Pelodiscus sinensis: one gene and its partners. The protein of the gene in region 4 purifies or fractionates together with the protein of the main gene of each other region. This does not show direct contact. Links are inferred from orthologs where the notes say so. Each region holds a gene or a part of one and is shown on either strand. Other genes may lie near its edges.

Region 1 (7,765 bases), on a different chromosome or scaffold from region 4:
CTTCACATGTCTACATGCCTTTGTCCTTCCTACCTCAAAGCACTGCAACGAGCTATCCTCCAAAGACGGCTTCATACCGTAAAGACACACAAAAGCTGTCAGCGTTGCAGCTGTCATCCAACACACTTGTTCCACCACCTTTCAGTCACTTCCTTTATGCTACTTGTACAGTTACGCACATTTTAAGCGCAGAGTGAAATGTGGGGCTAATGTGTCCTCTGTGCCATCCCCTCACACGGCCCCCAAGATATCCCTTTAAGAAAGTTGCACTCATAATCCACACTATGGAGAAAGCAACTTTTAGGCTATAAGGCTCTGCAGATCAGCCACTTTCAACATGCTTTTCAGGAAGAGCAACCAATGCTTTGCTTAACAAATTAGCAATAATCTATGCATTTGAAAATCATTGTAGTACATAGTATTAGTCAATCAGGCTGAAGAAATTCAAGATAGAGGCCTCCTCCTAACAGAAACCTGAGCAAATTTACAGTAGACAATTTATAGAGCGAGTTAAGTAGAAGCATAATGTTTAAAGCTTACTACTTGACACTTTCCTGGCCTTTCAAAGGATCTCAAACAATTTCTAAAAAGTAAGTTTCTAGCTCCACTTCACAGATTGGGAAACTGAAGTACAGAGAAGGGAAGCGACATGCCCAACATCACAGTTCAAGTCAGAGGCTGAAGTGGGAACAGAACCAAATTCTCCGTCAAATTCTCTAATCACTCCTCTCACAGTTTTAAATTAGTTTGGTTACTGTAGCGGGTGGCTCTCGTCGCCACGTCGCCTTTTAGGTCACTGCCCTCTGGCAGTGACAACCATAGCCTCTAAGCTTTCCCCTTCCGGGGGACTGATGGGTTTGTGATAGGCCGGTAGGCCCTCAGGAGGCGGCTCCTCAGCCCCCAGGCGCAGCGGGAGATGCGCCTGCCTCCCTGCATTACTGCGCCTTAAATTAATAGGCGAGTCTCTCCCGGCCTTCCTTCAGGTCCGGGCCACAGTCAGTCTAGTATTGCACAGGTCAGGGCCTGGCACCCAGTCTAGTCCGGCCCCTTTGAGGGGTTCTGCCCGACGCACGGTCGGTCTCAGCCGCACCGTAGGTAAACCCGTGCCCTTGAGCAGGGCGGGCCCCCAAACATAGTCTATTAGGCCAGGCCCTCAAGTTGGGCGGCCCAGCTAACCCCACACCCGTCGGAGCCCCTCGTTGCGGAGCAGGCCCGGGAGGGCGTCGGCAGCCGCGGTGAGGGGGGAGACTGTCACCCGGTTCAGGGTGGCAGGGGGGGCGCAGGCCCACCCACCTCATTGCACCCCGGCCCAGGGGCCCTGAATGCAGCCGGGCGGCTGCGCCTGGCTCAGCAGGGCTCCGGCCCATAACTTGCTGGCCGCGGGCGGCTCCCCGCCCGGCTACCCCCTGGGCCACTTCTCGTCTCTCCCTTCCCTGGTACCTGTAGCTCCGGCAGGCCCGTCGTGGAGTCGAGGTCGGTGTTGTCCCAGCAGGGTCCAGGCGGCCCAATCCAGGGGTCAAGGGGTCGGAGCTCTGTAGCATCCCGCGGGCTCGTCCGGCCCCGGCGTTCCAGTACCCATTGGGGGTCCAGCCGGTCTAGTGGTTCGGGACAGTCCTCTGGGTCCTCGGGTTGCTCTGCTGGCTGGCGTGGCAAGGCCTCAGTAGTCCCGGCAGGGAAGCCTTGGCGGGCCTCCAGGGAGGCGGCTGAGGACGGCCTAGCCCAGGTCTTAGCCTCCCCAGACAGGAGCTCTGGACCGGCCTCCGGCTCCCTCGGAGGCTGGGCCCTGACTGAGCTCCCAGGCAGCCTTCTTATAGTCCTAGTCCCGCCCTTTGACTTCTGGTCAGGTGAGGGGGCGGGGCTAGGCTGGGCCCAAAATGGCTCCCAGAGGGGTTCCTCCGCCTCCGGCTCAGTGGGTGGCCATTCCACCCCACTACAGTTACCTTAGCAAGGACTCCTCAGAGAAGACAAGTGCTATACCTCTGAATATAGAAAATACTCTCAGAATGTTCAGACTGAGGGAGGAAAACCAAGAAGAATGTCTCAGCGGAATGGTAAAGATGGGTAGAGGATTACAAGCAAAGATTTAGAAGTCTCCAGGTTCCAGATGGGTCACACGGGAGAGATATCCTCAAGACAGTATTTAGGGTCCTAGTGTAGAACCCAGAGTACGTAGGTGTTTCAATGAGGACTCCGATTCAAGATTCATTACATGCAATGAAAGAGCATCTCTACAACACCAAACGGCCAAAAGGACAATGAGAGACGAGCAATCAGATGCAGGATCAGCACTACACAGCTGAAATAACTTCTCACAAGGGAACTAAATAAGAACCCCAAAAGTGAGAAAAGTTGCAAGGTGAGTGGGGAGGGTGAGAAGAAACTACATCATTGAGTTGTGAACTCACAAAAGGACCCTATTTATCATTCACCTGAGTGATTCACCAGACAAATCCACTAGCTCTACTCAGTAAAACCCACCTTCTGAGCTCCACTGAGAGGAGCACATAGCTATTAGGATTAGATTTGCAAGACAGTCTAGAGAACCAGTCATTAAAAGATGGAGCTACATCTGTCTCTTTCTTATGCATGCCTGTGTTAACACTGAACATAACCTGCAGTGCTAAGACATTTCTTTTCATGTAGTAGAAACCTTGAAGTTGTACCCATGCTGTGGCTGAAACTGTCAAAGCTATAAATGCGCTTAAAACTTACTACTAATAGATATTATTTTAAGCAGAGAATTTGAGTATCTGAGGGAAATTGGTGAAGTGCCCAAGAATACTAGCCTACCACATCTAAGATTACAAATCACACAGCAGGCTGCTTTAGGGCAGCTCCTTGGGGATTTCTTAAGGACCACGATAACATCTTCAAGTTTTGGTACAAAAATGGAAGTTGATTACTCAGTGAAAAGAAAGGAGCTGAAACACTGTATGAAGACAGTGACAAACCAACAGAAAACACAATGCCCATAGAACAGGGGTGTCCAAACTTTTTTCAAAGAGGGCCAGATTTGATGAAGTGAACATGCGCGAGGGCCGACCATTTTGCCTGACATTCTTTGAACCATTAACATTAAATGCAAATTAACTATTTTATGCAAAGTTTATTGCAAACGGCACACTTTTCATTTCGTCACATGGATGACAAATCTAAACAGGTGTTAAATCACTCTGCCTTTCATATCTGAAGGCCAGATGAAAAAAAAATCCAGGAAGCTGAAGTATATGTCAGGAACATTGTAAAGTACATTACATATTATTGGTAATAAAGGTTGTCTGTCAACTTTTAAGTTCAAAAAATATGAACAGGAACATAACACCAAGTATACATGTTGTGTCCAAATATATTTATAACTGATTTAGACCAACTGACATTAACTGAGATTTTACAATGTATTCATCTCAATACATATGGATTCGTTGGGGGCCATAAAAGATAGATATTGCCAAATTACCTGGGGGGCCGTATTAAACCGGAACACGGGCCGCAATTGGCCCGCGGGCCGGACTTTGGACATGCCTGCCATAGAAGCACACAGCAAAAACTATTTGCCTCCTGCACCACAGCTGACTTGATCACTTGCCTGGGATGGCTTCTGATGCAAGACAGCGGTATATGCAGAGCTCCTCTTAAAAAGGGGGTCATATTTCCTTTCTTGATATTTTCCCTTAATCAATTTCAAAGAGGTATTCCATATTTTAAAGTGCATGTTATACAAATTTATGTATAATATTGTAGAACGTATAAAATTTCTGTTTACCCTGTTCTCCAATCCCTTTCATCAAGAGCAAGTTATCAAACAGCAGCCAAAATCCTGTCTCAAATAAAGAGGGGATAGGAAGGCAGACAATGGCATGGTTTTCAGGTCCAGTACCTCAGTATAGCACCCGCCAGCATCAGAAGCTCTCCAGCAAATAAATAAAAATGCTTTCAAAGCAAATAAACTTGGACAAGCACTCGTTATGGGCCAATTATCAGAAAGAAACAATGTCTGATTTTTTTCCTCATAAGATTTTTACAACAACATTTTCTCAATCTATTATGAAATCCCTCCTTTCCCAATCTCCCCAACAGATCAATACAGGAGAACTTTAGAGGCACCAGAATTTTGACTCCATAAACAGGAATATTTCCACTAATGTCATCATTACAATCTTCCTGTTAGATCACTAGTGCATCGCTTCACACTCCCAACTTCAGAATGCACAGACTACACCCCAAGACATCAATACCTGTATTTGTGCTCCCAGCTACTAAAAATAGAATTCCATCCCCAAGGACACGAGTGGCCGTATTCACCATCTTGTTCCCAGGATGGGACAAGAACAACACACCAGTGTTGACATTTCAAGTTCCCAGTCCTTGTAGACAGTCTAGGATCATGATCCAGATGCATTAGAAGAACTAATATGATTATTCCATCACTCCTGAGGCTGCAGTGATTACAACAGTTTTCTACACTTAAGGTTCCCCCTTTGCCCCAAGCTAATAGTCAATAGTCTTTTCTGCCACAGCAGTGGCAAAGAGTTAACATGCCTAGCACACAAATAATGCTACAGCAAGCAAGGAGGGGGATAGGCAGCAAGGTTGCGGGGCAGAGGAGAGGAGAGGAATGAGGTGTTGAGGCTTGTCTGCATGGGGAAATTTACTAGCATATTTTACTGTGCTACCTCTAATTATACTGTTTTAACTCCCTCTGTAGACACGCTTATTCCAGAATAAGAGTGTGCACACAGGGAGTTATGCCAGTATAATTATCCTGGCTAATTTCCCTGTGAAGACAAGCCCTTAGTTTAATAGTTCCTGATGGCTGATTCATCTGTATTTTTAAACTTTGCTCACTAGCTGAGAAATGCATTCCCTCCTCCCCTTTGCAAGTTATTTCCTATTTTAAGCTTGGAAGGAGGAACAGTCCTCAAATCCTCAACAACTGAACAAAGTTTAAATCAATAACTGAAATAATCTGTCAACTAATATTGGATAATTACATGTATGATGTGAACTATAGGAGTTCCCCCCCACCCCATATACTCCAAACACAAACTCAGCTAACCTGCTGAAAAGCACTCAAGGACTCTGGCTGCTCCTATCCCGCAGGTCAAACACACCTGTACATTTGCTAGAAGTCACAACTCTTCAGACACTCTATGGCGGCATTATCCAAATGCCAGCAAATAAACCTCTCTCAGATTCCCACACTGCCCTGAGTGCCAAAGGTACACATTACACAACCAAGGGAAGCTACCCACAATCAAACCTCTTCAAAGGATGAAGAATGTTGTGTGCCACTGTAATGTGCAAACAGCTAAACACATTCTTCATAGACTAGGTTACTGAAACAATACAGATTTCCACATATACAGGAACTCAAACAGTTCAAGAGCCAGACCAATCAGTCACTAAAGTATTGACAAGGAAGAAAGGAAATATTTATTTTAATTAATTTATGAATAGCCTGCAATAGGGCAATTTCCCTGCTGTATTTCCTGTTCAGACTTCTGAAATAGAATAATGTAATCAGACTAACTGCAAAATGGAAGTTGGAGTCACTTGGTTATAAGTAAAAGTGCTTTAATCTAAAGCAAGCATCTCCCTACCTAATGGAAGAGAAGGGAGGGGGAAGGGCAGCCCTAGAAGATGAAATGTATTTGCCAGTGGGAGTTTGTTCCTGCTCATTATCATTTGTCTGAGCTGAGCTAACTGTCACGGACAAACAGATCCTGGGGCCCTGGTGGAGTCCTCATCACTGGAAGAGATCAGCCCACAGATTTAGGTTATTGCTGTCTCATATTCATACAGCTACTGAGATTCTACACACTCCACTGGAGAAAGAACAGAGACCAGGGGAGAAACCTCTGAATGACAACATACCTCCAAACCAGTTATTAAGGAATTGAAGAAAAAAAAAAAAAAAAGATCTACGTAACACACTGCTAGGCCCCAAGTATTTGAGCAAGTCCTTCATATCTATAGACCACTGGAGACTGACCAAATGGTTTCTGCTCTTCATTCCGAAGTCCTGCGCCACTCAATTTGGGGACAGGGACTTCCAAAGAAAAGGCCCGTGAATATATGACGCTTTGTCTGGAGATTCTCTCTGTTGGGACTCTTCAGCGCTCATTGCAAGACTTCACTGTACTTCTGTGACTACACTTACTTCCTGTTTGTTCCTTTACTATTATTTCCCTCCTTGCCCACGTGACAGACTGCTGTATCTGGGCTGACCTCCATCTTGATTTAAAGTTTAAAAAAAAAAAAAAACATAAAAAAACCACACAGTGCAGTGTGTTCCAGAAGAGAGCTTTTCAAAAAGTTAAAAATACAGCCCAACTTGGTGGGAAAGTTTTCCAGTGACACCCACCAGAGAGTGTGTGGCTGGAGTTAAGTCAATGGGGTGATCCTCAGCAAATTCTCTACAGCTGATCCAGAAACTCACAATGTTTAATCTCTCAGGAAGCACAGGGCAGAACTGAAGGAGTGGTTTCCTCCTAATACAAACAGCAATAGGTGGAGCAGGATTTTAAAAGTGCTTCACAAGCACCCGGACTTTTTCATCAGTGGAGTAAATAAGCAGCCTTGACAAAAGAGCCTCCCGGCAGCTATGGAGCAATAAATGACAAAAATGGCTGAATTCCAGACAACATCACTCAAAATTGGAAACTGCCTGCAACACAGACCTGTTGCATAGTTATTTTCCACCCATCCAGAATCTGTTTCAACAATGACCTAACAGTACTGCAACACAACTGAGAGAAACAGAGAGCCTCCTCCAGAAAGACTTTTCCCAACTGTCAAAACAAACACTGATCTGAGCACACTGACGGTTCACCATTCCCTTGGCACCTGCCAGCCGGCATTACGACAACCCACAATTGCAAAAGGAGTTGTAGCCAATTGCAACCTGCATTTCAGACTCCCACGGAGGGAGTTTAGTGCTTAAAACAGACGGATGGACGGGGAGTCAAGACTCCTGGCATCTATTCCAAATCCTGTCAGTTTCTATCTAACAAACTTGATGGGCTGGTGTAAAAGGCCCTAGATAAAAAACAAAATATTGTTATACCTTCACTGAGCCCAAAACTTGGTAAAATCTATTGGAAAAAAAACAACCCAGCTGTAAAGGTATGTCATAACATACATGGCTGCAACACCACCAGTGAATGGCCAAAGCAAGTTAGGGATGTTAAATATTGGTTAAATGAATAGTCGATTAACAATGAATTCTTATCAGTTACTCGACTATTCTATAGTCCCAGGGGGAGGGACCGGCAGCCAGTGCACTCCAGCCCCAGTCCTGAAGCGCCCCCTGCCACTCTGCGCTGCTGCCTCTATATCTGGGGTGCCAGGCAGGAGCTGGTCCGTGAGGGGAGCCAGTTTAAAAAACAGCTCCCCTTGCAGACTGGCTGCCCATGCTGTCCTGACAGAGGCAGAAGTGCAGGGTGGCAGCAACCCCTGTCCAGGGAATGGGAGGGCTGAGCTCCCAGATGTGTCGTGAGCCAGAACTGAACCGGGCTGCCTGCCCGCCTGGCTCCTAATGCACTTCAAATGCGGAGCCAAGGTAGGGGTAGGTCCTGGACCCGGCGCGAGCCAGATTGCTGGACAGCCTGCTAAAAAGTTTACTGGAGGGGGGGGGGGGGGAACATGTGCAGTCTATAGCACTGACCAATAAACTTTTGCTTATCAGTTAATCAACTACACTATTACATCCCTAAAGCAAATCACACGGATTTTTAAATTCAGCCTTCCATATTTTGAAGGAGAC
Region 2 (6,918 bases), on a different chromosome or scaffold from region 4:
CACGCTGGGAAGGCCCAGGCAGCAGAGGGTTAAAGGTGCCAGAGGCTATTTTAATCCTGGCTGCCCTGCCAAGGCACTATTGTTACAACCTTGTTTGCACATCCAGGGAGCCTGCCGGTGGGAGAGATGGCTCATCCCTGTATCCTCCCTCCCCTCCCTCACCCTCCCTCCCTGCAGGGGAATCCCTCCCACCCACCCACAGCTGGGGCCAGGCTGGAAAGGCCTCCTCATCTGTCCTGAGGGGAGGGAGGAATGAAAGCAGGGTTGGGGGAATGAGGAGGAGGAAGTGGAGGGGGATGAAAAGGACAGACACAGGATGTCAGAGAGGAAGTGACACATGAGGGCATAGGTCTGTCCCAGGGAAGTGGCCAGGACTCTCCCGAGGAAGGGAGCCAGTGAGTCCTTGTGCCCCCTTCCTCACATGCAGCGACCAAGTACCTGGCAGCCGACCCGCAGCACCACCGGTATAGGAGGAGGAAAGGGAGAGGTGCCACACACCAGGGACTGGCATTCGAGGAAGAGAAGGAGGCAGAGACTTCAAACCCCTCCCAGAGCCGGGGACAGAACTCAGGAGCCATGATGCCCAGGCCTCTGCTCTAACCATTAGGCCAGCATGGAAGACTGGGAACCAGGACTCCTGAATTCTACGGCCAGCGCTGCCCCCATCTGGCGCAAGCAGAGGCAAGTCACTTCCCCCGCTGTGTGAGGCGGTTCTGCCCCATCACCAAACACACCTCATCTCCCACTTTGCAGGGAGAGCCTGGTGCGGGGGGAGAGATTCGCTGCTGCTTGCAGAACAGCTAGAGCCAGCGGATCAGAGCACAGCGCCACCCACCTGGGTTCTGGCGCCCGGGGCGGATGCCGGGCACGGAGAAAAGTTCACGCCACGTGGCGGGTTCAGCCCTTCCCACAATCAGAACTTGGGTGTCCCAGGCCCATGACCTGTCCCAGGCCTCCATGGCTCAGGAGTGGCGGGAAGAGGAGGCCCCGGGAGCGGAGAGCTCCTAAGGCCTCACGTGCTTGCCGCTGCCCTGCAGGGATCCTTCCCAGGAGGAGCTGGGGAGGCCAGACTCTGGCCTGCGCACTCCGCCCCCCAAATCCCACACATTTTGATGGTGTCTGCATCCCCTGCCCCCGCCAGATAGCTCGACTCACAGGGCCCTGTGCCGCGGCTGGTCCTACCCCTGCGGATTCCATCTCAACTCACTCTGCTCACTCCAGGCGAGCGTGTGCGGAGACACAGGGGCCGCCTCGCTGCCGGCCGGGGCCCCCGCCTCGCTGCGCGGCCCCCAGTAGAAAATCCGCCCAGCCAGACTCTCCAGTTTCTGAAGCGCTGACATCTTAGCCCCTTTGTTCCTGCTGGGGTTGGGGCAGGTCATTTCTCCTCCGTGGCTCATGTTTCCCTTAATTTATTTATCTCCCTCTCTCCTCAGCTCTCACAGCCAGAGTTGATGTGAAGTTGGGCCCCAATCCAGGAATCCTCCGGCCTCGGCCATTTCCCAGCAGCAGAGACGAGAGCAGGGTCAGGGAGCGGAGAAGCAGCCCCAAGCCCCAGCAAAACTCGTCCACTCCCAACAGAGATGGGGGCTTGAGCCGACTGCTCTTGACTTCTACCCGGGGGAGAGACTCTCCATCCAAAAGCTCCCCTGCCCTGCAGCAGCCTCAGAGCCTGGCTGTCAACGCAGAGGCGGGCAGGCCACTTCCATACGACTCCTCCCTGCACTTGCTCCAGGTGGCGAGGACCCAGGGACTCGAAATGGCTTCACCTTGGTCCCGAGCGTGGGCTTCCCTGGCAGAGGGCACAGGATAGGGGAGTCTGGTCACTTACGCAGCCAGCCAAGTCAGTTTCACTTCCTGGAGAGCAAGGGGAAGACGGGTTCTGCTCCAGAACTGAATGGACGGGTTTGCCAGAACAATGGCCGGTGGCAAGGGGCAAATCCACCCAGAGAGGCTTAAAGCAGACCCGTGGGTCTCTGCTCCTCTCAGATCCTTGGGCCGAAAGCAGCGCGCGAGGCTCCCTCTTGCTTCACTGCCGATCCTGTGTGTGCGGGGGAGCGGATCCTTGCCAAACACACTGTCCTACGGGTACAGTGCCCCGGGCTGCAAAGGAAACAGGGCTGGGCTTGCAGCTCACATGAGGCCTGAGTCAGAGGCACGCAGGTCCTGAAATCAGCTGCTGGAGCCCCCGTGTATAGCGCCGAAGAGCAGGGGGTCGCAGCGCGTCCAAGGCAGCTCTCCAAGCAGCGCTCAAACAGACCCACATTCAGAACCCCCGGCCCTTGCAGGCACCCTGCGGCTGCACCCCAGCGAGGAGATCTTGCTGCACCACGGGGTTTGACTCATGGCGTGCAGTCCCAGGCGGTACCGACCGCCGCCAGGGGAGGGACTCAGGACTAGTTGCTTGAAGGTTTCTTTACTTTGCCTTTCCCAAACAAGCCCTGCACTCCTTGACCTTGGGAGCGGGAAGCCACTTCCAGCGGAAGCCAGAAGCCGGATAGAGCTCCGGGGGAAAAGCAAGCGGGTGGGATGGGGAAGGAGGAGGCCCTTTCTTGTGAGTCTCAATTTCCAGGGGGCTGCAGAGACCGGAGGCAGGGGGCAATCTGGAAAGGAAGCTGCTCACCCTGGGCACAAGGGGCGAGGGGGCTACTGCGTCAGCCCCCCAAAGGTGCGGAGGAGGTAATAGACCAGCCGGCCAAACAAGTGCACCCAGAGGAAGAGCTGGATCCAGAACTGGAAGTCGAAATCTGAGCCCTCCTCGATTCCACGGAGGTCGCCAGGTCTGAGCTCCATGCTGCCGCCCCGATGACGCAGACCTCGGCTCCTGGCAGCCGGGATCCTGCCGGAGGCTGCCCTGCTTCTCTACGCCACAGCGGGCTCCCCCATGGCTGCCCAGCTTCCAAGCAGGCCTCCAGGACCCTTTGCAGAGCAGGAACGGGCTCTCCCGGGGAGAAGAACCGGGAGCAGGGTAGGGAGCAGCCTGCTTCACTCCTGTCGCTTCCTAGGCTCAGGGATCAGCCTGCCCCAGTGAGGCGCGCGCTAGGTATTGTTTCAGAAAGCGCCCCAAGGGAGCAGCCTCAAAGGGGGAGGGAGATCCAGGGCTGGGCACGCCGCCAGGTTCACACGAGGCCCTTAAAGGCATCAGCTCCCTGCTCCACATCTGCTCTCAGCTGCTCTCTCAGCAACCAGCTCTCCTCAGGGAACTGGCCCCCGGGCTCCAGTGGCAGGACAGGAGGTTGGGATCCCAGGGAACCTGGCCTGGCAGCCCGGAGCATCCCACTCTCAGGGGGAGTGGGTGGGAAGGAGGGAGGGGAATCTACAGCATCTCTAGAGCATCAGCTCAAACCCAGTCCAATGTGAAGTTAACTTGGCAGGTCTCAGTCCAGTCCCCAGAGGGAGGGCCCTCCCGCCGAGGGATGTAAAATCCTGTTTCAATTATTTAATGGGTTAAACGGTTCATTGATTAAACCGTTTTAATCAGTTCATTGATTAAACCAGGGTGAGCAGGAGGCGCTCCAACCCAGCTGGACTGGAGTACCCTCCCCTTGCGGGTGGGCTGCAGTACCCCTTCCCCCATGGGAAGGGGCTGTTCCAGCGGGGCTGGAGCAACCCCCACTTGCAGTAGGCCCCGTGGGGCTGGAGCAGATCTCTGCCCATGGCAAGTGGGGGGCTGCTCCAGCCCCCACCAGTTAACTGTAACCAGCAAACATCACCCGCTAAGGTTAACCAATTAGTAAACCATTCACATCCCTACTTCCTACCACAGAATCATCCTAGACAGGACTCCTGGGCTCCTCACCATTAGACCGTGCTGCCTCCCAAGCCAAGAACAGAACCCAGGAGTCCCGACTCCCAGAGGCCCTGTTCTCAGCACATCCCAGCCCAGTCCCCCCTCACTGAGTAAGAGGAAGGGCAAAGTTAGCTGCTATAGGCCCCTTTGGACAGAGGGGCTGGTGAAAGGCGGGACCTTCTGGGCTCCCATTCAAGCTCCCCCTTCAGGCCTTACACTCCCGGGACTGTGGCGGGGGAAACGGGGGCAGGAGGAGACTCACACACAGTTCCCACATGGCTTTGGTAGGGGGAGGCCTCTCCCTCCGGGAACTGGACTGACACCTGCCAAACCCATTTCATGTTGCAGCTGGTCTGAGCAGGGCCACAGTCGGAGGGCTGAGAATCCGAGCCCTGTGGCTCACGTGGCCTCCGGCCTCCACCGATAGCCAGCCAGGGGGCCAGCCAAGTCCAGCGCTACTGCCGCGTGCACCAGGATCTGCTTCCTGAGCCGCGCCTGGCTCAACAGGAGCCCTGGCACTGACCAGCCACCAAGAGCGGCTCAGCTGAACAGCTGGGTTGAAAGGTCTCTGCCTGCTGCCGTGCGCTCAGCACCCTGGCGGTGGATCTTGAGACAGCCCCTCCCATCCAGGCCCTGCGCTGGAGCCCCCCAGTCACCATCAGGCCTACAAGAGGCAGCCAAGAGGTTCGAGACACTCCGTGGGAGGGACTGGAGCAGGCTCTCTTTGCCCTTCCTCCGGATCTGAAAGGGATCCCATTAGGTTACGTAACCGGGGCCACGCGAGCTGTTTGGGTCAGAACCGCGTCTCAGTGCAGCGGGGGAAGGGGTGTCACTGACATGTGGCTGAGTCGGCATTTCCGAGGGGCTGCCAGCCCACATGCCAGTCAGACAGGCGGGCGAGAGCGGTGCCCAAAGGGTTAGCCTTGCGCAGGTGCAGCTTTGGCAGGACCAGGGGAATTTTCTGCCATCTCAGGCAGCGAGTCCCGCAGGGTCAGCAGGGAAGGTTTAAAATATTCCAGCGTGCTCGGTAAAAATCAGCTCCCTCCAGCCAGCAATGAGCAGCAGCAGCAGGGACACACGGACCCAGCAGATGGCATTTTGCCCTACTCAGCAATCGGAGCATCATGGCCCAGCCACAGATGGTGACCCCCATGGCGACCAGCCGCATGGTGCAGCACCAGTAAGAGCCTGGGTTGGTACTGGGAGAGCCAGAGGCTGGGCTGTCTGGCAGCCTGAAGCTTATCAGTCATTCATTTCAGCAGAGGAATCCCTGCTCCGTCCCAGAAGTGGGTGCATCGGGGAAGCGTCTGAGTGGCTCTCGCCTGAACACAAGGAGGCACAACTGGGGGGACAGCACAATTAACAGGTTCACACTGGCCTAGCAGGCAAGCTGCCCTGCATGGAGCCAGGCTCTTTGCAGGAAACTCCACTCTAAGTTACAGCAGGTCTGTCATGCACAAGCAGAAGATCAACAGTGAGTAATTAACCATTGGAACAACTGACCAAGGGCTGAGGCAGATTCTCTAGCACAGGCAGCCTTCAACTCAAACATGGCTACTTTTGTGCTCTAATTCAATCAGGAATTAATTCAGGCCAGTCCTACAGTTGTGCCATGCTGGAGGTCACCCTGTATTGGTGGTTCTCAACCTTTCTCATTTGTGGACCCCTAAAAATGTCGAAGGGAGGTGCAGATCCCTTGGAGAGACAGGGTCTGCAGAGCCCCAGGGGTCCACAGACCACACCCTGACATGAGCCCAGTGGTCTCTGGCTTTGGGAGTTAGGCAAGATGGCCTGTGGTAAAGGCAGATTTGGATTCAATGCTGAGTTTGGACCTTGACTTCATGCAACCTTGGATCAGTCATTTCAGCTCAGCTGCCTGTCTGTAACATGGGGGTACGAATCCTTCCCCTGACTATTTAGATTCAAAACGCTTTAGGGCAGAAGCGGACTTGTTTTAGGTGTGTGCGCAGCATCCAGCACAATGCAGGTCTTTGACCTCAGTTTAGGTCATTATGGGCATTACAGCAGCACATAATACAAACCCATTTAATTCCTCACCCGGTAAGGAATAACCAGAAGGAATAAGGGAAACCCGCCGTGAGGCTCAGATAATAAAAATGGTGCTGATGAAAAGAGGACTGCACTCATTTTCAGTCCCAAAATGATATACACGTATATTTTAAACCAAAAGGATTCCTTAAAAACCTAGTGCGGAGAGCAATTTCGCATGAATTTAAAAGAAAATTCAGTAGAAAACCAGGTAGCTTGAGGATTTAGAGAGACATTATCAGCTTAAAAAGAGGACAATAAAAATTGCTTCTTATGTTACCAGCACCTGGGCTTATTAACTGTAAAGCTTATTTTCAACATAAAGTCCACTGCACTTAATCCCTTTTCAGGTATCTCAGCATGAACAAATGCAGGGAGGAAGGGGGAAGACCCAATACAGCTGGTCAATTTCACTCAGATTCTAGTGAGTTTCACTTCTGGTACTGAAGTAACTGCAGGTTGCCAGTGTCCAAAGTAGGATCAACAGACGCAGATACCTCAGCAATTGCTAGTAACATGGTGCCAAGTCCTTGTTTCCAGCTGCTAAACTTCATCAACCCATTAAATTCTAGCATGATCGGAAATAACGGCTGCAGTGCTAGTCACCCCTGATCAAAGAGGAATAGTGCAAAATGAGAACGTTCAGAGTAGGGCAATAAGAACAATCTAGACCTGGGACAAACTCTCCTATGAGGACAGACGGAGAGGACTATTTCCCTTACCAAGGAACCCAATAAGAGGGCCACCATTTAATCTGGAAAATAATAGCTGGGATGAAGAAGAGAGATGAGGAGCTTCTCTCCTTCCTGTCTCATTCCACAAGAAGCAGGGGACACTCAAATAGAATTAAAAGGTGGGGAATTCAAAACCAGTAAGAGGAAACACTTTACCATTAGCCCACGGAACTCACCACCACAAAGTTGAGGGCAAGACTAGACTGGCCATTCACAGGGAGAAAGACAATTCAAGGCTATAATTTAAATGACAGCAATAATTCCGAAATGGATATTGAAGCTTGTGCGTCAGGGCTTAAGTGGATCTCTAATGCTAGTGAGCAGGACGAGACCTCTAGAAACGGAAAG
Region 3 (6,911 bases), on a different chromosome or scaffold from region 4:
GATTATGGACTAGTCAACTAACCGATAAGAACTCATGAGGTTAATCGATTATTCAATTAATCGATATTAGGGCTGTCAAGCTATTTAAAAAATGTAATCACGATTAATCACGCAATTAATCGCGTGCACTTCCCCTTTGAAATGCCATGGCAGCATTTCAACGGGGCAATGCTGCATAAAGCGCTGCCCCTTGGAAGCACCGTGGCAGCATTTCCATGGGGCAGCGCATTAGATGCTTGGAATCTGTGGACTCCAGCTGATCCCCGGCTCCATACTGCAAAGCCCCTTTGAAATGCAGCTCTGGTGCTTCAAAGGGGCTTTGCAACAGCAGAGCCGGGGATCAGCTGGGGACTCCAGCTGATCCCCGGCTCTGCTTGGGCTGCCCCTTTGAAGCGCCGGAACAGCACTTCAAAAGGGCAGCGCAGCATTAACACCTGCAATTAACGCCTTAAAAAAATTAATGCATTCATCCTGTCCTGCATTAATCGCAGGTGTTAATACAGGTCAATTGACAGCCCTAATTGACATTTAACATCCCTGCTATTAATCTTTCATTTGTTTGTTTAATAATCTCTCATAGGAAAAGAAAAAAATTGTAGATCCACAGAGAAAAAGTTAAAAAAAATCTGGGAGATGGCTGTTATGGAAAAAATTAACACACCAATAATGCACCCAGCAGAGGACAAACAGTTACTTAGATATTTTATTACCTTCTATTCAATACTCAAAGTACATTTACCCACACAAAAAACCTCAGTGTACCTGTCTGATTTTTTTTAATATTAATATTTGGTAAACATGCCTATCTGTTAAATATGTGTAATCAGAGATTTCACACAATTTAATAAAATCACAAGAAACAACATGATGCTCAGTCTGAAGTATGGTGATATCCTGTTAAACAGAGATCTGATCACTATATTTCCATGTCTCTCTTTAAACAGAAGATCTCTGTTGTAATGATTATTCCTGTGTTTCTGATATTTACATGGCAAGAATTTGTAAACCTATTAATACTTTCTAAACAAATCAATAGTAAAAAGGGAACCAATGCACACACTGCAGCCTGGAGATGAGGAGTGTTATAACTAAGTCTACAATGGCAGTTTGGAAGAGGAACAGAGGGAAAGAGTTTCCTGTCATTTGCACCTCTGATTCAGCTCCATAAGTGACAGCATCTTTGGGAGCTCTGGACATGATAATGCTACCATAGACATTAGCATTTTTTACTATCTCATTTAACTCTGTTTACAGCACATCTAATTGACACAGTTTTAAAACTGTGAAACATTTAACTGCACTATTTCTTCCACTTCTGTTACCACTAGCTAGGCATCTCGAGGTCAGCAATAATAGAAAATTGTTGCCTGATACAAAGGTCCTGAACAGAAGTTTACCCTGTTCTATAGGTAGAAATCCTCACTATCCACAGCTGCCAATCTAAAATCTTTCATAAGCACAGAAATCTAGCAATTTAAAACAAGAGGAAGAGAATGAAGTTTGATAACCAAAAGTGAAATAATAATAATAATAGAAGATCTCCTCTTCCTAGTTCCATAACTACAGACCCCGTACAGCACTATTAATTCCACAAACCCATTGTAACAATATAGGCCCTGATTTTGTTCTATGTTGAGTACCAGCAGATTCCCAGTGCCTGCATAGCAATCTGTCCATACCCACTGAAATGCAAGATTAGGACCTTCATCTCGGTGTCCATAACTAAAAGTCAAATCAGGTCATAATGAACTTAAAACTTTTATTTTTTCCTATGAATTGTCCCATTGCCCCCTTCAGTAAAATGACCTCCCCAGAAAATAATACTTTTCTATTTACTACTTAATGCTAGTTTCTTCACTGGGGCAGGATATTTTATTCTGTATTTTTTTTTAAGTTTTGCAGAACAAGGAAGTCAAAAGTAATATGGTGGCGAAATAGATAGTAAGATGTTGTATAGTAATAAGAAGATTGGGAACAGGGAGGATGAATCAAACATGTCAAGCACTCTATTCACAAAAAAGTTGTTCCTTCCATCCCTCTAACTTCCCGAGCAACCCTAAACAACATGTATCATAAACATGTTTACATTATATCTTCAAAGACCAGGCTCCCTATCAAACCCCTCTTGCAAAACTGCTACCATGAAGATGTACCAGCCCAGGGGCACGATCCATAAAATGGATAGAGTAATGAAAATAATGAGGCCCCATTGAAAGCGAGAGGCGTTTGCCCCACAATAAGTGGCTGGGCTGCTGCACACACAGCCCACGACCGGCCTAACTGGCCTGGGGACCCCGAGCAGCTGCGCAGAGCAGCATCTCGTGGGGACCAGCGCGTGGGAGCGCCGGCTACCCGGGGAATGAGGCTGGCAGCCAGCGAAGGGGGCACGTGCCCCGCAGAGCGCTGGGGCGGCCAGGGCGCGCGCGGGGCCGGGCTTACCTGCTCTGCCAGCCCTGCAGGAGGTTGGTGTATTTGCTGAGCGCTCCCTCCAGCGTCTGCTCCCTCCTGCAGCCGCTGCCCAGCGCCGGCCCCGTTCCGCCTCCTCCCGGGCTCACGGCTGCCGAGCCCGGGCTGCTGCTGCTCCCGCCGCCTTCCAGCCGCCCCGCCGCCGGCCGGCCCGGCAGCCCGCGGCCCGCGGAGCAGGGAGACGAGCCCGCCGACGTGGGCCGGCTGCTGCTCCGGCTGCTGCTGTTGCTGTTGCTGCCGCCTCCATCCGCACCGCTGCTGCCGCCCTGCGCCGCCTTCTCCATGGAGCCCGCGGGGCAGGGTCCGAGCCCGCCCGGCCGCGCTGCTGCTGCTGCGAGTCCCCGGGAAATGCCTGACTCACGCGCGAGGGCCGGGCCGGGCCAGTGGGGAGAGCCGCCGAGCCCGCCCCCGCCGCCAGTTACCACCAGAGCCAGCTGGGGCGGCGGCCGCAGACCCGCCCCCAGCCCCGAGAGGTGCGGGAAGCTCCCCCGCTCCCCGCCCTGCCTGGCGCCCGCTTGGGAGGCTGCTGGCCCGGCCTGTGGGGAGAGCCCGCGCCAGGCCTGGGAGAGCACAACTCGGGGTGTAACACACAACACGCGCACACAGTGTTACAGCCGGGGAGGAGGAGTGCTCAGCATGGTGTACAATTCAGTACACCCCAACACACACACAACGCTAACAGCCACACACACAACATGAAATGGTTAACCAGCTAACTGGTAAGCATCACCTTTAATTGCTGATGCTTACCTGTTCTGGTTAACTGGTTGGGGCTGGAACAGCTGCCCACTCGCCCTGGGCAGGGGGCTGCTCCAGCCCTGCCGGGCTCCCCACCAATAGGTCTCGGGCCTCTCTGCCCTCCCCCTAACATTACATTTAACTGGTTAACCAATTAATGGGGATTTTACATCCCTACCTGGCACAGTTTGTAATACACAGTAACACACACACCGCCACAGTCAGAAAGGACAGCACAACATAGTGTGCAATACACAACGTCTGTATACCATGCAGAAAAGCCAGGAGGAGTGCATAATATGCAGTGTTTCACACAACACTGCCCACCATAGTACACTCAGAACATGACAGTCAGTGAGGAGTGCACACCACTCAGAATATCTGCCACAAGGCAACATGTAACACATGGAGAAGAGTACACCACGCACATATACATAAGGGCTACGTCTAGACTGGCATGATTTTCCGGAAATGCTTTTAACGGAAAAGTTTTCCGTTAAAAACATTTTCGGAACAGAGCGCCTAGATTGGCATGGACGCTTTTCCGCAAAAGCACTTTTTGCAGAAAAGCGTCCGTGCCAATCTAGATGCGCTTTTCCGCAAAAAAAGCCCCGATCGCCATTTTCGTGATCGGGGCTTTTTTGCGGAAAACAAATCTCAGCTGTCTACACTGGCCCTTTTGCGCAAAAGTTTTGCGCAAAAGGGACTTTTGCCCGAACGGGAGCAGCATAGTATTTCCACAAGAACACTGACAATCTTACATGAGATCGTCAGTGCTTTTGCGGAAATTCAAGCGACCAGTGTAGACAGCTGGCAAGTTTTTTCGGAAAAGCGGCTGATTTTTTGGAAAAACTGGCCAGTCTAGACACAGCCAAGTAGTATTACCATCTCCAAACATTCAAGAAATCGTGAGTCAAATATTGTCACTCCTCCGAAATTCATGAGATTGGCTTTAACTCAATGGGATGTTTTCAATTATAACTTTGGCTTTTGTTTCTGAGGTTATAGGGTGCACTTAGATCATGTTGTCAACCTTTTCTATACAACAACCATGAGCACATTTTTATTTAAAAAGAAATGACAGTTGAGATTCTCTTTTTGTTTTATATTAGTACAGCACCGAGCACCCTGGGGTTTTGCTCCACCACTGGACTCCTAGGTGTTACAACTATACAAATAACAAGCAGTCTCTTCATGTCAAGAGCAGGGACCTGAAAAGGGCGAGGAGAGGGGGGACAAATAACGAGAGATGATCGAATCACCAGAGCTACCAGGCTATCCACAACACACACACTGTACACAGCAATCAATGTGTAACAGATAGTGTTCCGCATCAGCACAAGTGCATAGTACAGGGTACACTGTCCTGAGTGCATAGTACATGAAAACAAGTGATAATCCTGCCGTGGGAGTGGCCTTGTATTTCAGGTACAGGAGTTCTGAGTACAATGCCTGCTTGTGTCACAGAATCCCTATGTGATGTTGGGCAAAGTACTTAATCTTCCTATGCCTTAGTTTCCCATCTGTAAATGGGGTCAGTAATCTTTCCCTATCTCTTAGGTGTTGTGAAAGAGAAAATATGTTCATTAATAAAAATGAGCCACTCAGAAGCTACAGCAAAGGTGAAGCTAGACAGATCGTGTGAAAAAACAACAGAATGCAATCATGCATCAACATGGAATATACAATGTTGTGCACTCCTCTCTGGCTGTCATATTTTGTGTCTGAGTGTACAGTGGTGGGTAATGCTGTGTGAAACACTGCATCAACCATACATCAGCATGTAAAGTCTGGGCCAGTTCTGAGAGGCTGTATAACATGTGGCTGCAGGAGGCCCCCATAGGTAGACATGGTGCTAGAGTTCTGTGCTGGCTTATTCAAACTCCTCTTGGATGCATCATGTGAGAAGCGAGTGGGTAAAGTGAGCATGGGCTGTGCCTTAAGTTATGGACCTGAAGACTGCTTACCTCCTGGGCCAGGCCCTGTGTAGATTAAGTCTCTTTTGGTGTTGAGGAAAACTCCCTACCACTGAATGAGACATGACAGAGCAACCGGTGGTGGAGAAAGAAGATATTTTATTTTAAATTTGAGTTGGGCAGGTAGAGAGGATAACTAGGCTTCCTTTGTTGGCTACCAGTTGCCTCACCTCCTGCCCCTATTGAGGTCATCCTCCTGTCCATTTATGATGTTCCTTGTTGGCATCATCCAAGCCCCTGCGCCCTTGGCCATCCTGCTTTCAGCAAAGGGCTTTATTTAGGGCAGGTCTACACTCTGTGGACAAGTTGATCTAAGCTATGCAGTTTAAGTTACATTAGTAGTAACTCAAGTAGACATAGCTTACATCTACTTACTATTGATGGGAGAAACTCTCCTATTGACTCCCCTTACTCGCCTCATTCCCGTAGAGTGCCAGAGTAAATGGGAGCGTGACCAGCAGTCGATTTAGCAATCCACCCAGTCTTGGAAACAAGCCCATAGCAATATAGGTCTGAAAAGGACTCAAGACATCATGTAGTCCAGCCCTCTGTGCTGAGCAGAACCATGAGTCCCCTTCTGGCAACTTCATATTGCCTCTCACAAGGTCTTCCTCCAAAGCTACCTCCTTCTCTTAACCCAACTTGAATCTTCTATCTACAAGATCCTTTCAGAAGTTTACTGCTAATTTATTGTCATGTCCTCTCTTAATCATCCCCACCAGTCAGTCAGCCCAACCCTCAACCTCAGTTATCTTAGACTAATTAAGCTGTACCGGTCAACAGCTTGTACCCCAGTCAACTTATCCTAATTAATAGAAGTTATATGTACTTTTATAAAATAAATGAAACAATATCCAATTTCAGTTAGAAGTACAAATAATTATGCAGAGCAACCCAATTGAGGGGGGCACAGATGTATTTATATCGCTTAAGTATTTATCTGTGCACAAGTCCTCCGTGAAGTAGAAAAGTACTATTAGCTTTGCTTTCCAGATTGGAAACTGGAGCACGGGGAGATTAAATGACTTGCCCAACTCACACAGCAAGTCTGTGGCAGAGCAGAGAATTCAACCCAAGTGTCCAAAGCCAGAGCCCAACCATTGAACTATCCTTCCTTTCTGCTTGAAATAACCAAGAACAGAATAGCTAATACACTACCCTCATGTGTGCACATGCGCACACCACACGTTAATATAAATGTTCACACACAGTGGATAAATTATCACAGCACATGATATAACAGTATATAGAGTCACCCAGTCAGGGCACAGATTTACATGCAAACAGTGGAAAACAAGTGGTGATGGTGTAAAATCACCCCTCTCTATGGTTAATTTTTTTACTGGCAAGGACAGTGTGAATATTTATGTTAACTGATACATTGTGTTATTTTATTCTACTACATTCTCATTTTGCTTTAAACAAACACATTCTCTGTGTTAACCTTGCACTTTAAGTATTACTCTTCACACTGTATGAGTACTCCTGCGAACTCTGTGCTCATCTATGCACTACATTTCATGTATTTAACACAGAGAACATACAAAGTTAAAAAAACACATAGAATATGTTTTAGCATAATAGTACGCAGTGAGTTAATTACAATAGAGCAGTGGTCCCCAACGTAGTGCCCGTGGGCGCCATGGCACCCGCCGGGCCATTTATGTGTGCCCGCGGAGCAATCTGGGCTGGCCCCGCCCCCGGGCATGTGGCAGGTGCCAGCCCCGGGAG
Region 4 (7,627 bases):
TTGCCTCTCTAGCGAAGATGCCAGCTTGGTTCTTCTGTTGATGCTGGCCAGTAGTGGCATGTGCTTGGCTTTAGAAGGTTCATATTCTATTACAGAAAGTGAGGGGAAAAGAATAGCGAGTCCTCTCCCTCCCCCCGAAAAGATCAGATTTTAGCAACACCTGAATAGCATGCCTAGGATAAATAAAAAGGCCCAGTGCCCCAGCTAAATTTCAGAGATCTAATGCAAACAATAGAAGTACAAGAGCTTTTTCAAAAACAAAGAAATCTTTATAATGTATACTTTTAGACAACCCAAAAATGAGAAGCTGGCAGTAACTCCTCTCTAGTCTATGCCAAGGAAGACTTTCTCTCAATACCATATTACAGTTCAGCATTCCTCCACCTCTGGTGGTTTATTCTTCAAAGTGATAATCATCTTTATAGCCTTTGTAAGTAACAGAATGGTATAATAATTTTAGAGCTGGAGATTTGACTATGTTTTCAACTCTAAATTGACTGCATTTCAGTGTGGGGGTCTTTATTCATGTTATGAAACTTAGAACCCAATACAGCTTCTCCAATATCAGCATGTCTACAAAGTTCTCCGAGATCTTTCAGTGAAAAACACCTTGACAGCACACAACAAGAAAAAGGAAGGGAGTGGAGTGTCTTTGATTATTGAAATCTCTCAGCAATTCTTATATACTAATACCGTGCAAGATATCCCTTCTAAAGTTGAAGTATCTAACTGAAAAAAGTGAAAAGAGCACATTATACTTCCTGATTACTTCAAATATGATTTTTGTGAACAAATCTTTCATTTGCATTTTCTCTAGAGAAACTGGCCTACTCTATGAGCCTCATTTAGAACAGACACTTTGAAAGGTTTTTTCTTTCTTTCTCCTCCTCTTCTCCCCACTTTTTCTGTTTTATATTTCAAAATCTGTGCCCCGTTTCATAATATTTGTCATCTGAAGAGGTGAGTTGGGCCCACAAAAGTGCATGATACTATTTATATATTTTTGTTAGTCTCTAAGGCACTACAGTACCATTGTTGGGTTTTGTTTTTTTGGGGGCTAAAATCAATTACTAATAATTTAATCTTTGCATACCAAAGACCTTATGATAAATCTTGGTTTATTTTAGATGTTAAGCACACATTTAATAACTAACCCACTTAACTAAAGACTGTCACTTGAGATTTGCATGACACTTTCCCCTGTCATAATATGGCTTAAAAAAAAAATCTATTGAGTAGCTGAAAATTTTGCTGACAATTTAACCCTGAATCTTGGAGTATGATCAACAACTAATCATCTCTCCATCTCAGTAGAGTTTCTGTCATTGCTCCATCCCAATAGTTTGCATCTAAATTTTAATGCATTACTTTTGCCCCAGCAATATGCAGTTAATTTCCAACAAAATAATTGCATATTCATTCCACACCATATTTACTGCTATGTTTTTGTTCTTTTTAGTAACTATTTACCATATTATTTCTGAAATTTATTGATGATCAAAAATATATATAGGGATGTTATCTTAGCCACATGTTTATAGCTAAGCTGCAGCTATCAGTAAAGATGAAATTAATATTTTAACATCAAATGATCTCTACTTTGAAGTTTAGAAGAGCATTTGCTAAATATCAGTGTTACATTTTTGTAAGAGGAGATATTTTTACTTTTATTATTATTATATGCAAACTTATTGATGTTGATATGTAATCTCAGATTGTGTTACAACAGTCTAGTCCATCAAGTTGTAACATAATAAATTAAGAGCAAATTAACCTGTTCAGGATCTTATTTTAAAGGAGAACTCTCCTGTAAACAGATTATTAGAATAGCGTTTGTCTTAGAAGTTTAAGAAATAATGAAAAGAAAAACAAACAAAAGTATTGTCAGAAACAAGGTCAGAAGTCTCAGTTCTTTAAAACACAAACGGAAACCTATTCCACATGTTCCAGGATATGCAATTCAGACAGCTTTCAGATGGCTCTAAAACGGCTCCAGGAAATAGGAGCCACAAAGCCCATCCACACATGCCAGGTGGTAGCAACCATCTCTGCTGAAAATATTTTTCTTTTTCTTTGACTACATCTCTAAAAAAAGAAATCACAGCAGCTGGAGCTAGTAATTAAACCCACAATCAGATTATTTTACCAGTAGGAGCATGTCAGGGTACAGATCACATAAGAGACGCCATATATATATATATATATACACACACACACACTCACACACACACACACACACAGGATTACACCCATCATGAGACAAACTCAAGGCAGAAAGCAACCCTATACAGAAGACGACAGAAGGGCTGTTTCTCATCCTGCACTAATGATAACACCGAGGCGACGTGGAAGGTCAGATTATATCCATGTAGCGCTGCCTTCGCTCGCAGTGGGCGGGGGATGAGGAGAAATCTGAAGCGGGAGGGTTCTGCCTACACCACAACACACGGCTGGTGTGTGACACGCGCGCACACGGCTCACCAGGACAAGCAGCATTTCACACCCTGACTCCCCTCCCCCCCTCGGGGTCTCTCGTACTGGAGGGGCTCCAGGCGAGGCCGCAGCAGAGCGCCGGGGGCGGGCAGGCCTAGGGACGCGAGCCTCAGCGGGCACCGCCCGGCCCCCGAAGGAGCGTGGGGGGCCGGCACGGCCTACGAAGGGCCCTTGAGCCGCTGGAGCCGAGCGCCAGCCCCCGGAAAATGGCTGCCGCTGGAGCCCAGCCCTGGGCAGCGGCCGCCGAGCCCCGCGGCCGCCCCTCACCTTTGAATTTGAGCTCGTGCTGCGGTTCCAGGCTCAAGACCTGCTCCACTTTCGCCATGTTCCTCGGCGGCGGCGGCACTGGGAAGGGGGGGCGGCGGGGACGCGCCCGGCGCTTTAATAACCCCCGAGCCGCGGGCAACCGGCGGGCGGGAGGGGAGCGGCAGCGGCGGCGCCTCTAGGCGGGGCGGGGGCGTCAGGCGGCGGCTGCGCGGCGAGGAGGCTCCCGGCTGGCACAAGCTCCCCGCGCAGGGACCAGGGGGCGGGGAAGGAGGCGGGATGATGCAGCACGGAAGGGCCCAGAGAGAGGCTGCGGCTGACGTCTCTCCCCAGCCGGGCGGCGAGAACGGCGCGGCGCGGCCGCAGGACTAAAGGGCGCAGGGCGGGGCCAAGGTGCAGCGGGCAAGAGAGAAGGGGGAGCGCGCGGGGCGGGGGGACCACGGCAGGGCCAGAGTACGCTGCATGGGCGGGGTCAGGGTACACTTCATGGGGGAGGGAAGAGGAGGACCCATGGCAGGGCCAGGGCACACTGAAGGGGGGGGGCACAAGGCAAGGCCAAGGCACACTGCATGTGAGGGAAGAGGGGAGCACAAGGCAGGGCTAGGGCAGTTCCAGAGTGTGCACATGGGGAGGGGAAAGGCAGGAAAACGCAGAGCCAAAGGCACCAGGCTGGGAGCAACATGGTGTGAAGTCAACAGGTGATTTTTGGTAGGTCCATGGCTGGGCTAGCGTGAGTGCGGAGCCCAAGAGCTGGATTCTGCCACCAGGCCCAGCCTTCCCCCTGTAGCTCTCCCTTCAATCTTTAAATTGATGGATTACGTGGAAAGTGCTACTTAGTGGCAGTAAGAGTGCCAAATTTTGGTCCTTAGTGGCTGGTCTTGGCTGGTTGTAGGGTTGGAATGGCATAGACCATAGGACTAGTGCGTGCTGGGCTGAGTGCCAAGTTAGGGAGCAGCTTGTGCCAGATGGCTACAGATAGGGTTGCCAGATGTCCGGTTTTGATGACAGTCCGGTATTTGAGCTTTCTGTTCGGGGAAACAAATTGACAAAATATAAATGAGAAAATATAAATGTCCAGTACAGTAATTCCTCATTTAACACGTGCCCGCTTAACGGTTTTGCGATAGCACAATTTTTTGGGGGGAATGTTTTTTGAATTACACGACAGTCCCCGGAATAACACGATTTCCCCAGCTGGCCCATTGCCGGCGACTGCTAGGGCTTCCCCCGCGTCCTTGCAAAGCGGCGGAGGGTTTGCTGCTTGCCGTACTATTCCCAAACGACCCCCTCTTGCTGGACACAGTGCAGGTCCTGGCAGACCCGTCACAGGGGCATACTCCCAACCCAATCCCTCCTCCCTTCTCCTGCCCTTCTCTTCCCCAGAGCCAAACACCTCCCCTCCCTGCTGTAGCCCAGTCCCCTTTCTCCCCCAACCTTATGTCCCGGTTCCAACAGACACCACTGCTTGAAACGCAAACCCCACCTTTTCCATTATTTTCAGTGGGAAAATTGACCCCATATAACACGTTTTCACTTAACATCATTTTCTGAAACATATCTATAGTGTTAAATGAGGAATTACTGTATTTTCTAAATAAGATGTAATGTAGATTGTTATGTAATGTCAAGTGTGTCCAGTATTTTTGTTGAAACCATCTGGCAACCCTAAGTACAGAGCTTGAGACTATAGATATGGTGCAACAGAAGAGATTCATAGTTTAAGGTGATACTTAGGTAGGTGCTTAATTTGACAGTTTGGGAACAGTATAGTATAGGTTGGACATGCATCCTGAGATTATTAGAGAGCGGGGTGTATTCACTCTGGGTGAAACAAGTGCTGGACTAGACATCTCTCCCGTTCTCCCCCTCTTGCCTTTGCAGTGTTCCCTGCAGGATACAGTACGTAGGAACTGAAAAGAGCTAGAATCTGGCCAGGGATAATGTGAAATTTTTTAGTATATCGTATAGGTTGGGTTCAATGCCTAGGTAAAGCATACAGCAAGCTAAGTGCACAGTCTTTGAACAGCACATTCAGAATTTGAGTGCAGCCTGGTGCAGAGAATTCTGGTTAGATATAAGAACTAGTTTTCCACAAGGCCAAGATTATTTATTCTGAATTCTAGTGTTCAGTCTACACTACCACTTTACTGTGCTGCAAATTTCTTGCTCAGGTTTGAAAAATACCTCGCTTGCTGAGCGCAGCAAGTTACTGTGCAGTTAGCTATTTGTAGAGTTATTTCCCTTGGTTAAAATGGCCATTGGAGCTTTCTTGCGCAAGAGAGCGTCTACTCTGGCACGGATGCTCTTGCACAAAAGCATATATATTGTGCAAAGGCACATGCCAGTGTAGACGCTCTCTTGCGCAAATACTTTTAATGCAAGAACTCTTGCGTTAAAGAGTATTTGTGCAAGATCATGCCAATGTAGACGTAGCCTTGGTGTTGGCAATACAGTACATGATAGTGTCTTCCTCCTGTGTCCAGGAGCCAGGCAGAGAACAAGATCCTACAAAGCTTCACTCCACTAACATCCGTTCCCTCGCATGGGGACCCCTTTCACAGGGTAACTGAAAGTGAAACTCACACCTCCAGCCCCCCACTGGCTGCAGAAGTGCATCAGCTCAGGCGACTCCCTGGCCAATGTGGTTTGTATCACAGCAGAGGCAGCCAGCATGGCTTCTGGGACTGAGGGGTGCCCGGTGCAGCTGGGACTAAGTGGGAACTGGGGGCCTGAGCAATGCTGGGAGCCATGTGTGCAGATGAGTGTCCACACCTCATCCCCGTCCCCAGGACTGGCAGCCATGCAGATCTGATTAAATGACCTTTTCAAAATATTTTGCAGGTGAGATTGGGTAAATACTCATGCTGCAGATGGTCTGCAGTCCAGGAGTTTGAGACTCTTGCTGTAACAGGTGTGACATATACAGAATATATCGGGGTCAGCAACCTTTCTGAAGTGGCGTGCCAAGATTTAACCCTCCTGCCCCCAGGGAGGAGAGGCTCTCTCCTCTGCACACCCTCTGGACCACCTTAGTCAAACTTTTCCACAGACTACCACTTGCTAATGGAAACGCATGTTAATTACATAATTATACCTGTGCCATTTTGCTAGTACTGCACCTGGGGAGAATGCTTTAATTTAAATTATTAAACCAATTGTTGTAACTTTTTCATGTTAGTTTATCTAATTTAATTTTAAATCAGTAAAATATTATGTCCAACACAAAAGGTTTCAATGTTTTTGTTATTTATGGCAAGGTGGGGAACCTTTTTTGAGTTGAGGGGCCACTGACCCACAAAAAAATCACTTGGGGACCACACAAGTGAGAAGCAAAAGAACTCCTCCTAAAACCCCCAATGCTCACTGATGTGGCCCCCAACTGAGGCAACCCACTCCTGTGGCGCTCCTGCCCTATGGAGTGAAGGGAAGGGACAAGGAGGACTGAGGTTTCCCATAGGCCAGATTTACTTTTCTGGGGTTTCACAGATAGTGGATTTGTGGACCTCCTTAGGCTCTGAAGTGGGAACAAAAATGAGGGGTTCAGTGTGCAGGACAGGGCTGCCAGCGAGTGGGATAGGGTTGTAGGATTTGGGCGGAAGGTGGGGTGCAGGATGGGGTGAGAAGGGCAGGGTCTGGAAGGGAGTTTGGTGGAGGAGAGGGTCGGGGGTGGGAGAACAAGAGGAAGCTTGGGAAGTAACCCAGAAAAGGTGAGTGGGTGAGAATGCAGCCAAATAGTTAGTTGGGGAGGGAGGCAAACAAGTGGGGAGTAAAGGAAAGTGCAGCTTCTGCAAAGTAAAATTGTAACCTCCCTTACATCTTCCCCCTGCTCCAGCCTCACTCCCCTCAGCTCCATGCCCCAGTGCAATCCCTGCTCCCTCCCATCCTGCCCCACATCCCTGTACCCCCAGTGAACTCACCAACAGGGCAGCAGCGCTGGGGCGGGGGGGTGCAGAGCATAGTGTCTTACCTGCCTGGTCCAGTCATTTGCCTGCAGGCTGCAGCTCGGGCTGGGACAAGGAGAGCCCAGGCTGCCCAGGGCTGGCTCTAGTGTGGATGGGTGCAGCCGGGGCACTGGGGAACAGGCTCCCGGCCCCTGCACACAGCCTGCAGGGAGTAGAGCAGCACACCCCAGACCCCAGTGCGCCACATGTGTCTGGCTGCCTAGCCGAACAGGCCCAGCCCCACCAGGGCCGGATTAAGGTGGGGGGTGGAGGCTAGCCGGGTAGCTCCCCGGGGCGCCAACCTATGGGGGGTGCCTGATGGCAGCTGTAAGGGGTGCCACGTGCCCGGCCGTGCAGTGCCCTTTAGAGCTGCCATCAGGTGCCTGGGGGCCGCGTGGCACCTGATGGCAGCTCTAAGGGACACCATGCGGCCCCCAGCCCCAGGTGCGCAGCGCCTGATGGCAGCTGTAAGGGGTGTAGTGCGCCGAGGGGTGGGACCGCGCATGCGCCGTGCGCCTGGGGGCGGAGCCATGCATGCATCATGTGCCCGCTGCCTGGGGCACAAGAATGGCTCAAGCTGGCCCTAAACCCACCCTCTCCCAAAGCAGGAAGCAGAACTGTGGCACAGGGTGGGGGGTAAACCCCTTTGCTCCCGGGAGCTGCACGCCCAGGCCAGGCAGGGGCAGCCCCAGGGATGCGCGTTCGCCTCTCCCACCTCCCTACCCCAGCAGAAAGCTGAAGCAACAGTACAAGCTCCCCACTGCGTGAGGGGTGGGGGGAAGAGTGGGGCTTAGCTCCTGCCCCATGTGCCAGTGAAAATGGGCTTGTGTGATGCTTGTGGCATGTGTGCTGGGGGCTGACGATCCCTTTAATATATGATGTTACCCCTGTACAATTCTCTGTCATTTTCACTCTCTAAGAGAACCCAT

The links.
Region 1: the proteins of VAPB (region 4) and ARHGEF12 purify together in Homo sapiens (affinity purification with mass spectrometry; 3 studies listed by BioGRID and IntAct, counting the BioPlex papers as one, with this or other methods). This does not show direct contact. The link is inferred for Pelodiscus sinensis from reciprocal best matches to the Homo sapiens genes VAPB and ARHGEF12.
Region 2: the proteins of VAPB (region 4) and PRKACA purify together in Homo sapiens (affinity purification with mass spectrometry; 4 studies listed by BioGRID and IntAct, with this or other methods). This does not show direct contact. The link is inferred for Pelodiscus sinensis from reciprocal best matches to the Homo sapiens genes VAPB and PRKACA.
Region 3: the proteins of VAPB (region 4) and OSBPL10 purify together in Homo sapiens (affinity purification with mass spectrometry; 4 studies listed by BioGRID and IntAct, counting the BioPlex papers as one, with this or other methods). This does not show direct contact. The link is inferred for Pelodiscus sinensis from reciprocal best matches to the Homo sapiens genes VAPB and OSBPL10.

The regions. Positions count from the first base shown.
Region 1 is NC_134736.1:4,763,582-4,771,346, forward strand, and holds the start of ARHGEF12 (rho guanine nucleotide exchange factor 12), read right to left. Parts: upstream 3,011-7,765; 5' UTR 1,542-3,010; coding exon 1,441-1,541; intron 1-1,440. UniProt on the Homo sapiens protein: May play a role in the regulation of RhoA GTPase by guanine nucleotide-binding alpha-12 (GNA12) and alpha-13 (GNA13). Acts as guanine nucleotide exchange factor (GEF) for RhoA GTPase and may act as GTPase-activating protein (GAP) for GNA12 and GNA13.
Region 2 is NC_134729.1:10,100,220-10,107,137, forward strand, and holds the start of PRKACA (cAMP-dependent protein kinase catalytic subunit alpha), read right to left. Parts: upstream 3,001-6,918; 5' UTR 1,398-3,000; coding exon 1,208-1,397; intron 1-1,207.
Region 3 is NC_134712.1:183,971,905-183,978,815, reverse strand, and holds the start of OSBPL10 (oxysterol-binding protein-related protein 10), read right to left. Parts: upstream 3,016-6,911; 5' UTR 2,751-3,015; coding exon 2,440-2,750; intron 1-2,439. UniProt on the Homo sapiens protein: Probable lipid transporter involved in lipid countertransport between the endoplasmic reticulum and the plasma membrane.
Region 4 is NC_134728.1:13,200,656-13,208,282, forward strand, and holds the start of VAPB (vesicle-associated membrane protein-associated protein B/C), read right to left. Parts: upstream 3,012-7,627; 5' UTR 2,819-3,011; coding exon 2,761-2,818; intron 1-2,760. UniProt on the Homo sapiens protein: Endoplasmic reticulum (ER)-anchored protein that mediates the formation of contact sites between the ER and endosomes via interaction with FFAT motif-containing proteins such as STARD3 or WDR44.